Linked DNA regions of Macaca mulatta. The protein of the gene in region 1 purifies or fractionates together with the protein of each later gene. This does not show direct contact. Links are inferred from orthologs where the notes say so. Each region holds a gene or a part of one and is shown in the gene's direction. Other genes may lie near its edges. The genes, in order: CASP3 and CRYAB.

What was found.
Region 2: the proteins of CASP3 (region 1) and CRYAB purify together in Homo sapiens (affinity purification with western blotting; 3 studies listed by BioGRID). This does not show direct contact. The link is inferred for Macaca mulatta from reciprocal best matches to the Homo sapiens genes CASP3 and CRYAB.

The regions. Positions count from the first base shown.
Region 1 is NC_133410.1:193,076,701-193,081,149, reverse strand, and holds the start of CASP3 (caspase-3), read left to right. Parts: upstream 1-1,532; 5' UTR 1,533-1,600; intron 1,601-2,275; 5' UTR 2,276-2,443; intron 2,444-2,505; exon of another isoform or gene 2,506-2,539; coding exon of another isoform or gene 2,540-2,577; exon of another isoform or gene 2,578-2,665; intron 2,666-4,449. Other genes in the region: PRIMPOL (DNA-directed primase/polymerase protein), read right to left, coding at 2,540-2,577. UniProt on the Homo sapiens protein: Thiol protease that acts as a major effector caspase involved in the execution phase of apoptosis. Following cleavage and activation by initiator caspases (CASP8, CASP9 and/or CASP10), mediates execution of apoptosis by catalyzing cleavage of many proteins.
Region 2 is NC_133419.1:112,657,462-112,661,692, reverse strand, and holds the start of CRYAB (alpha-crystallin B chain), read left to right. Parts: upstream 1-1,356; 5' UTR 1,357-1,389; coding exon 1,390-1,590; intron 1,591-2,380; exon of another isoform or gene 2,381-2,449; intron 2,450-2,671; coding exon 2,672-2,794; intron 2,795-4,143; coding exon 4,144-4,231. Other genes in the region: HSPB2 (heat shock protein beta-2), read right to left, coding at 191-284. UniProt on the Homo sapiens protein: May contribute to the transparency and refractive index of the lens. Has chaperone-like activity, preventing aggregation of various proteins under a wide range of stress conditions.

The DNA.
Region 1 (4,449 bases):
ACCGCGCCTGGCCTTAAACTCTTTAAATTGTAATTCCTACCCCGAGGGATTGTTGAAAGGATGAAACAAACAAATGTGTTATGAAAATGTAAAAGCATGCAATAAACTCTCAGCAAGTTGTAACGATACATAAAACTAAGTATATTTCTGTGCAGAATATAGTCCCTATAGTCGAATAGGCGCAAGCGTTAGAAATAGGCTCTGCCATGGGGTCCCTGATCTGACTTCTGAATGTCAAGAACCTTTTGAAATCTGATGCAGAATGTCGTGCTCACGTGGTGGAGAATTCTTCTGCGAAAACGATTCACAGTTTGCTTCAGGGTCTAAAATGAGTTCATGACCCAAAATAGGAAGGGGATCAGTACGGCAGTGTATAGCACACCCTTCACGTAACTATTAATAACTCCATCTTAGGAAAAGACTCCATTTTATATTTCATAGGGCATTTGCCAACAAGGATACTATACTTTAATAAACAAGTAAAAAACTAGTCCGCATCCACTCAGGTAAGGACACAAACAAGCGCCCTCTTCCACTGTCAGTTCTCACCCGGACTCTGCCTTCGGCAGCTCCAAACAGTCTTAATTGACGCTGTCTCTGCAGAAGGACCTCTCGGGCCCAAACCAGGCTTCTTCTTCTCTTCTTCACTCCCTCTGGATTGGTTGTTCATCTCTTTGTCCTCTCTCTTTTTTTCCTCGGGATGTTAAATGCTACTTTGTTTGCTGTGGGATGCTTAACATGTAACGTTTATATATGGATTAAGTACACTACTGCGTACGGTTTGTAGTACTGACTGATGCGCGGAGTGGCTTGAGCCCGTGTGTCCAGCATGCGTGGACCTGCTTATTACTAGCCCGGCACCCTGGCGACAGGAGGCTAAGGCTTTTGATTTAGGGAGAGGGACCTGGGGGTAACCCCAAGAAAGGCCTCAGGTCACCGGAGGGGGGACGGAAATTACCGGAGGGCGTCCCGGCCCGCTCCTCTTCTTCTCAGAGCTCACACTGGGCAGCAGGCCTGGCCTTGTCTCCCTTCTAGGTCCCCGTTGGGCCTGGCGCGGTTTCCAAGTCTTCCTCAAATTACCTCCAGAATCCCGCGCTGGGAGCGGAAGCCCGCGGACTCTCAGGAAGACCCAGCTTTCAAATCCGGGGCGGGGGAGCGGGGCCGGGCCTCGGGGGCGGGCCTCGGGGGCGGGCCTCGGGGGGCGGGGCCTGGCGGGCCTCGGGGGGCGGGGCCTGGCGGGCCTCGGGGGGCGGGGCCTCGGGCGCGGGCGCGGGCGCGGGCGCGGGCGCGGGCGCGGGCGCGGGCGCGGGCGCGGGCGCGGGCGCGGGCGCGGGCGCGGGCGCGGGCGCGGGCGCGGGCGCGGGCGCGGGCGCGGGCTGGCGGCTCCTGGGGCCCAGCCCGGCCCTGGGTTCTCGGGCGGGCGGGAGCTGGGGGACGGGCCCCAGGGAGGGGGCGCGCGGGGCCGACAGGGGCGGGCCGGGGGCGGGGCTAGCGCTGGAGCACGTCCCCAGGCGGCGGGCTGCTGAAGCGGTGCAGACGCGGATCGTAACGGGTGGCTGCTGCTGTGAGGCGGTTGTGGAAGGTGTGAGAAGGCTGTGCGGTGAGTGCCGCGCTCGCTCCGGGCGGTCAGCCCTGTCCCCGCTCCCTGCGTCCTCCCAGGCCCAGCGCCCGCCCGGGGACCTGGGCGGCGGAGCCTTTGTTTTGCCACCTCACCCGGGGCGGCAGCGAGCAGTGAAGCCCGGGGCCGGGGCCGGGGCAGCCAGGCAGCGGGTTAAGGCTTTTGATTTAGGGAGAGGGACCTGGGAGTAACCTAAGGAAAGGCCTCAGGTCATCGGAAGGGAGACCTGACCCGGGGGCGGGAGGCTTGCCTGGGGCCGGGGAGGCCAGGCAGCGGGAGGCCGGCCCGGGGGAACCGAGGCCGGGGCCGGGAGGTCGGGCACGGGGCACCGAACTCCGAGGGCCAGAGACCTGGCGGCCGGGCCTGGGGCCAGGAGGCCGGGCCAGGCAGCGGGAGGCAGCGGCAAGCTGGAAAGCAGACGGTGCTACCGCCGGCGGAGGAGTGGCCCCGGGAAGCGGTGCGGCGAGGGCTGGGGCGGCCGGGTGCTGACTGTGAGGGACTCGCCCTCGGGGCTGATCCTTCCAATTTTGGGCGAGGCTTCCGTCTCTGCTGCCTTCCATGCCTGGGGCCTGGACTATCCCGGGTTGACTGTGTGGTTTAGCTCTTCCAGAGAGCTAGTTGCAGGGTTTAAAATCCAATTCCTTTTCGGCCCTGCAGAGTTTCGTGAGTGCTCACAGCTCATCCCTGTGGCTGTGTCTCCGTGGCCACAGCTGATTGGCGTCGCCTTGAAATCCCAGGCCGTGAGGAGTGAGCGAGCCCTGCTCGCGCTCGGCGCTGTTGTTTTCAGTGGGTGTGCTCTGCACCTGCGTCTTTCCCCCATTCTCAGTAAGTGGCACCCAAGCAGGAAACCGGAAAACATCCTTCTCGCCCCCCTCTCGCCCACCTACTTCTTTTCCCGCTTAGTCACCAAGCCTTGTCGACCTTGTAAACGTCTGCCAGGTCTGTCCACGTCTCTCCATCTCCACAGCAGCCTCTTCCCTGGTCTCTCCACCTCCAGACCCGCCTGCTCCTTTGTAGTCCACTTTTCACAGCACAGAGGGATCTTTATGAAATGAAAGTCTAGAAAGCGCGTCCTTTGCCCTTAGGTTAAACCCAGCACTTAATACGGCTGACAAACCCCAGTACGTGTTGGGTCCTGAGTGCCCCCACCCCTCCCTATCTTTAGCACCGATTCACTTTCTGCACAGCAATGCTGACCTTCATAGCTAGTGTCTGCCACACCTCTGCATTCCCCTTCTCCCGCCATCACATTTGATTAGAAGTAAGAGCTGCTACTTAAACTTCTGTTTTCATTAAAACAGTTCAAGGTTCAATCTTCCTCTACTGTGTTCTTTCTGCAGCCAGCGTTCCCTAAGAGAGATGTGTCATATCCTCTGCAGTTGCTTGTTTACTGTCTTCCCTGCTAGATTTGCAAGCAAACTCCAGGAGGGATGGACTTGGTTTATCTTGGTGTCCTTAGAGTCTTTCACCAAATGCGGGCCCTGGCACAACGCAGTGAATGCCCATCCGTTGTGTTTTTACTTTTATGCCCTATCTAGAAAAAGTAGACCTGGTTTAGGATTATTTAGCAAATAATAGTTAGAAAAGAAATGGTAGAGGTGACATGGAGTCACTGAAACCATGTAAACCTGCAAGATAGCAGAAAGAGGGCCAGGAAAGGTGGTTAGACTAGACTGTATCAAAATGGGCTCAGCCACTGTGAGTGTGCGTGCTGTGGTTACATCATCTCTAAAAGTGAAATGTAAAGCTTAAATCATCTCTATCACAGCCCGATGCTTGGGCTTTGGTTTTGCTTTGCCTTTTTGTAAAAGAAGGTTTTTGAAAGTGAAAATATATTTTAGTGAATGCACGAACAGTTTATTGGAGTATGGCAATAAAACCTGTTCAGAGTAAGAGACATTAGACATTGTACCTAGTTAAATCAGGTTTGCTTTTGCTATCCTGAATAAAGGCCTTGACTCTTGCCTTTTGAAGAGACTGGCATCTGATATAGGCAGTTATAATGCTTCTTCACTGTTTTGCTTTCAGACCTCATTTAACACAATCTCCTACTGCTTCATCCCCCTACAAAGCAGTCTTTATTTTCATGAATGATATATTACATTGCTTCTGGTGCCTACTATTAGATGTTTAAGCTCTGCCCCAAAGATAGGAAGCACTGGTATTTGGGCCTAAAAAAAGATGTGAGAATTCTTAGATTTATATAATGTTCTTTCTCTGCATGTTTTGTTCTTACCTTCACATGTTGCCTGTAGGGCTTCTTTGCATTACAATAATGCAATCAAGCTACCTGATATGTATTGGACACCGTCTGGCATCTGCTTTGTTGAGCCACTTTTGAATGCCAGTGAACATCGGTATAAGCCCTGCATAGAGATAGGGTTTGTCTCGTCCACTGCTTGATACACTCAGGGTCTAGTATAGTACTCTGCACACAGTTGGTGTTCAGTAAATTGTTATGGTGCAAATATCAAATGAATAGATGCTACTGAATCTGACTTTTGGCAGTTTCAGTCTTCCAGACAGTAGGGTTTCTTCAAGCGGTTTTAAACCTGAATCTGATTCTGCAAAGTAGTCATTCTTGGTGGGAGTGGTGAGCCTTTAATGTTATCTGTAATTTTTATAAAAAAGCATTCAAGATCCTCCATTTTACACTTATATAAATCATTTAGATCTGTGAAGGCTTTCCCGTTTTCTCCTTTTGTCCCTCCAAAAACACTATCCTAGGACTTCACTTGGCACAGGGAGGACAGACCTTTTGCACATGGTAAGTGCCATTCTTTCTGACTTGTGTCGTAAACTCGGAGGCTTTGAATAGTGGGGAGTGCTCT
Region 2 (4,231 bases), on another chromosome or scaffold:
TGTCTTGAGGTCAGCAGGAATGGGAAAGAGCTCTGCTTGGAGGGGATGAGAGGGAGTCTGGGGTGGGGGGTGGCTGGTCCCAGGAGATCAGTTAAGCCCAGAGTGGGGTGGAGGCCAGTAACGTTGGGAGGTCAGCCCAGAATTTCAGGGGGTGGGGGTGGGAGGCAAGGGGGTGGCATCTGTGCCATACCTTCTCCGAAGCGCTGCTCACCCAGGCGGCTCGGGTTGGCAAATTCGTACTCAGCGGTGGCTGGGTGGGCATGTGGCACTGAGCGGCCCGACATGGCTGCAGATGCAGCGGGAGCCCTGGTCCGAGGTGCAGCCCCAACAGGCGCAGCGCGACCCCTCCAGCTGCCCGGAGAGCCAGGGCTCGATAGGAGGTGGGGGCGGGGTCGACACCACCCAAAATAGTGCCGAGCCTCTGGGGGGGAGGGGCGGGGAGTGGGGGCCCTGAGTGAGAGCAACGAGGGTGTGACCAGCGCCGCCTGGACCCCTAGTCCCCTCCCCCGCACACTCTTCAGCTGTCGCAGGGGGCCTGAGAGGACAGCTGAGGGTCCTGGTTAGGAACGAGCTGAGAAGGGGTAGCTGGTGGTGCCTGGGGCATGAAGAGGCCTCGCTGAGACCCTCACAAACGGTTTGCACGTTTCCACACCTCATTTTCTCCTCCTTGGAGGCCGGCACTGTGCACCCAATTCCTAAAGCACTCCTGGATTTAATGTTCTGAGAGCCACATAGGATGAAAGATGCAAGAAATCTTTCTGCTCTTTTTTTCAGGGAGTGGGGTCTTTCTGCCCAGATGTCGGAGTCCTCTCCTAAACCCAGGTCAACCCAGGGCAGGAGGCAGATGGCTGGTACTGACATGTTGACCATCACTGCTCTCTTCCAAGGACTCACAAAGAGTTAATGTCCCTGGGGCCCAGCCTAGGAAGATTCCAGTCCCTGCCCAGGCCCAAGATAGTTGCTGGCCTGATTCCCCTGGCATTCAGGACTGAAGAGGAGGAGGAGGAGGGGCACACTCCACCGCCTGCCCCCCCACCCGCCCGCGTGCCTGCTTGGGATTCCTGACTCTGTACCAGCTTCAGAGAACTGGGGTGGGGGTGGGTGCCACTGGGTGTGTACAGAAAGCTAGTGAAACAAGACCATGACAAGTCACTGGCCGGCTCAGACGTGTTTGTGTTTCTCTTTTCTTAGCTCAGTGAGTACTGGGTATGTGTCACACTGCCAAATCCCCGATCACAAGTCTCCATGAACCGGCGGTGAGCTAGGATAATAAAACCCCTGACATCACCATTCCAGAAGCTTCACAAGACTGCATATATAAGGGGCTGGCTGTAGCTGCAGCTGAAGGAGCTGACCAGCCAGCTGACCCCCCACACTCACCTAGCCACCATGGACATCGCCATCCACCACCCCTGGATCCGCCGCCCCTTCTTTCCTTTCCACTCCCCCAGCCGCCTCTTTGACCAGTTCTTCGGAGAGCACCTGTTGGAGTCTGATCTTTTCCCGACGTCTACTTCCCTGAGCCCCTTCTACCTTCGGCCACCCTCCTTCCTGCGGGCACCCAGCTGGTTTGACACTGGACTCTCAGAGGTGAGTCTCCCCACTGCTAGAATGGGAGAGTCCTTACTGGAACCTCCTGTAAACTTCTCCATCCATTTTCCTCTCCTTTCCTGCCTAAACCATTTTAGGCACATGTGTATCCAAATGTGAAGAAAAATGAGGAGGTTGCTAGTTCCTCCCTCCCCCGTCACCTGTTTCTACTTGATGGTCCTCTGTATCCCATTTATTACATTTTTTTCATGCACTGTCAAGTTCATCCTCCATCCCCTAACTTCTCTGCAGGGTACCCCTTTCTGGTTTGGTTCATAACAATCTGCAGGGAAAGAGCTGCCTTCAAACTCCTTTGCTCATCTCTTCTAACACCATGGACTCTTGACCAATTTTACCATCTCAGGTGTCAGAGCCAGGAGAGAGCCCTGCCTCACCCTGCCTGAGCTGTTCACCCTCATGGGCATTTTCTGCCTTTTTATTCCCTCTTCTGTGATTTTCTGGGTTTCTCAGGGCTGTGACAGGGCATTGGCCTGGGTCCAACCAAGCCTTATGAGGAAACAATATAGGGACCCCCACTCGTCCTAAGAGGGTGAGAGAACAGGGTGAACATATAAGGTTGACAGAAGCTGTCACAGATAACGCTCTGGTTTAAAAATATTCGAGTGTGAGTAAACAGGAGATGAGTGGGCAAGGGCTTTGGAAGGACAAGCAGGACCAGCAGAACATTCCAGATTGGGTGGGTGGAAAACTGGCAAAGAGACCTGAGCCAGAAGAAGAGGCCTTTGTCTCACAGACAAACCACAAAGCCAGGCATCGGAGCCAGAGAGGCAGCAGATGCCAGGCCTGCACCCATCCTTGCGACTGGTCCCCTGGGTGATCTGTCTTCTTCTCTGTCCCTGTAAATAAAGTTTGGGTCTGATCACCATGAGCCTTAGGTATCACTGTGGTGGCTCCCTGAAGCAGAGAGCCATGTTTATTTAAAAAGGGGATATTTTAAAGCAGAAAAGAGAAGGATGAATTACCTGGACAGAAAGCAACTCTGCAGAATAAGACAACACCAGTATAATGAGTACTTTCGCCATCTTTCTCCCGTCCCATTCCCTTACCTTGCTATTTCTAGATGCGCCTGGAGAAGGACAGGTTCTCTGTCAACCTGGATGTGAAGCACTTCTCCCCAGAGGAACTCAAAGTTAAGGTGTTGGGAGATGTGATTGAGGTGCATGGCAAACATGAAGAGCGCCAGGTATGTAGCTTGGTTTTTGTTTTCTGCTCATTCATTCAGTGTATACTGTAATAGTCCAGGTAGTGCTATCAGCTTTGGAGGCTGGCTACATTCCAGTCCCAAGCTATAATAGTCTAGATCAGGGGTTACAAATCAATGTCTAGAAGACTAAGTTAGGGATAGACCTATTGCTGTTGTTACTGTTGTTATGGCCAGAGATGTGGTCTTTGTTTGATTTGATCGCCTTAGATGGGATGATGGGATGTTGATGCCCCATCTTAGCCAGAGGTTCTGAATCTTGGCCACATTAGAATCACCAGGGGAACTTTCAAAAAACCTAATGCTCAGGCATATTCCAGACCAATTAAATCAGAATTTTTAGGGGTGGGACCCAGGGCATCAACATTTTTTAAGGTAATTCTAATCTACAGTCAAGGTTGAGGACCACTGATTTAGGTATAGGGCTGTCAGACACCTAGTTGCTTTGCATAATTACATTAACTACAGGTACCCTAAAGGCACTTGAGTTGTGAATTCTCTGTTAGCTGTGCAAGAATCCATGTCTCTTCTTTAGCCCATCTTAATGCTGAACTACTTGGTTTGTCTAAATTTCAGAGCTGTGCTCAGTCTTTAATCCCCTATAGCCCATGCGGAAATCAGTTAATGAGAGCCTGTTTGGCTACATGCTTGAGAGTCAGCAGGCATACGGGTTAAGGTCATCTACTCTTTGGGGGAATTCTGACGAATGGAACAGCTTTTCATGACTTTGTAAGAGGGCTTTAAAATTCCTTCTCACCAATTAACGATAGCTCAGCGATAGCTCAGAACCTGTGCGTCAACCAGTACAGTTTGTCCTTAGTAATGTCCTCAGGCTGTTTCAATTTTGCTCATATGATTTAGGTTTGGGTCATAGTCTCCTTGGATGGAGTCTTTTTTTTTTTTTTTTTTTTTTTTTTTTTTCCCCAGCAGCAGTCCTATTGTTCTGGAACCTTCTGGGACATTCCTGAAGAGTCAGGACAATTTCAGGGCTTCCTCAGGGACTCAGATTCTAAATGAGATTCCAAATTCTGTAGGCCCAGTCAACATTATCTAAACCTTTGGGAAATACTCCTAAACATATCTATGCCTCAGGGTTTGAAAAACAATGAAGTGTTGTACTGTTTCAGACTTCTCAGATTCTCACTGGTAGGAGTGACTACCTAGGTAACTTCATCTTAGCCACAACCCTGAAACAAAGCACTGTTTATTTTTCCTATGTTGTCATGGCATTTGGTCTCACCTAAGGGGAAATCAGGATGCCTGAGTTCTGGGCAGGTGATAGTAGTTCATATTCTTATCTCTCTGCCTCTTTCCTCATTCTTTTGGGTTAGGATGAACATGGTTTCATCTCCAGGGAGTTCCACAGGAAATACCGGGTCCCAGCTGATGTGGACCCTCTCACCATTACTTCATCCCTGT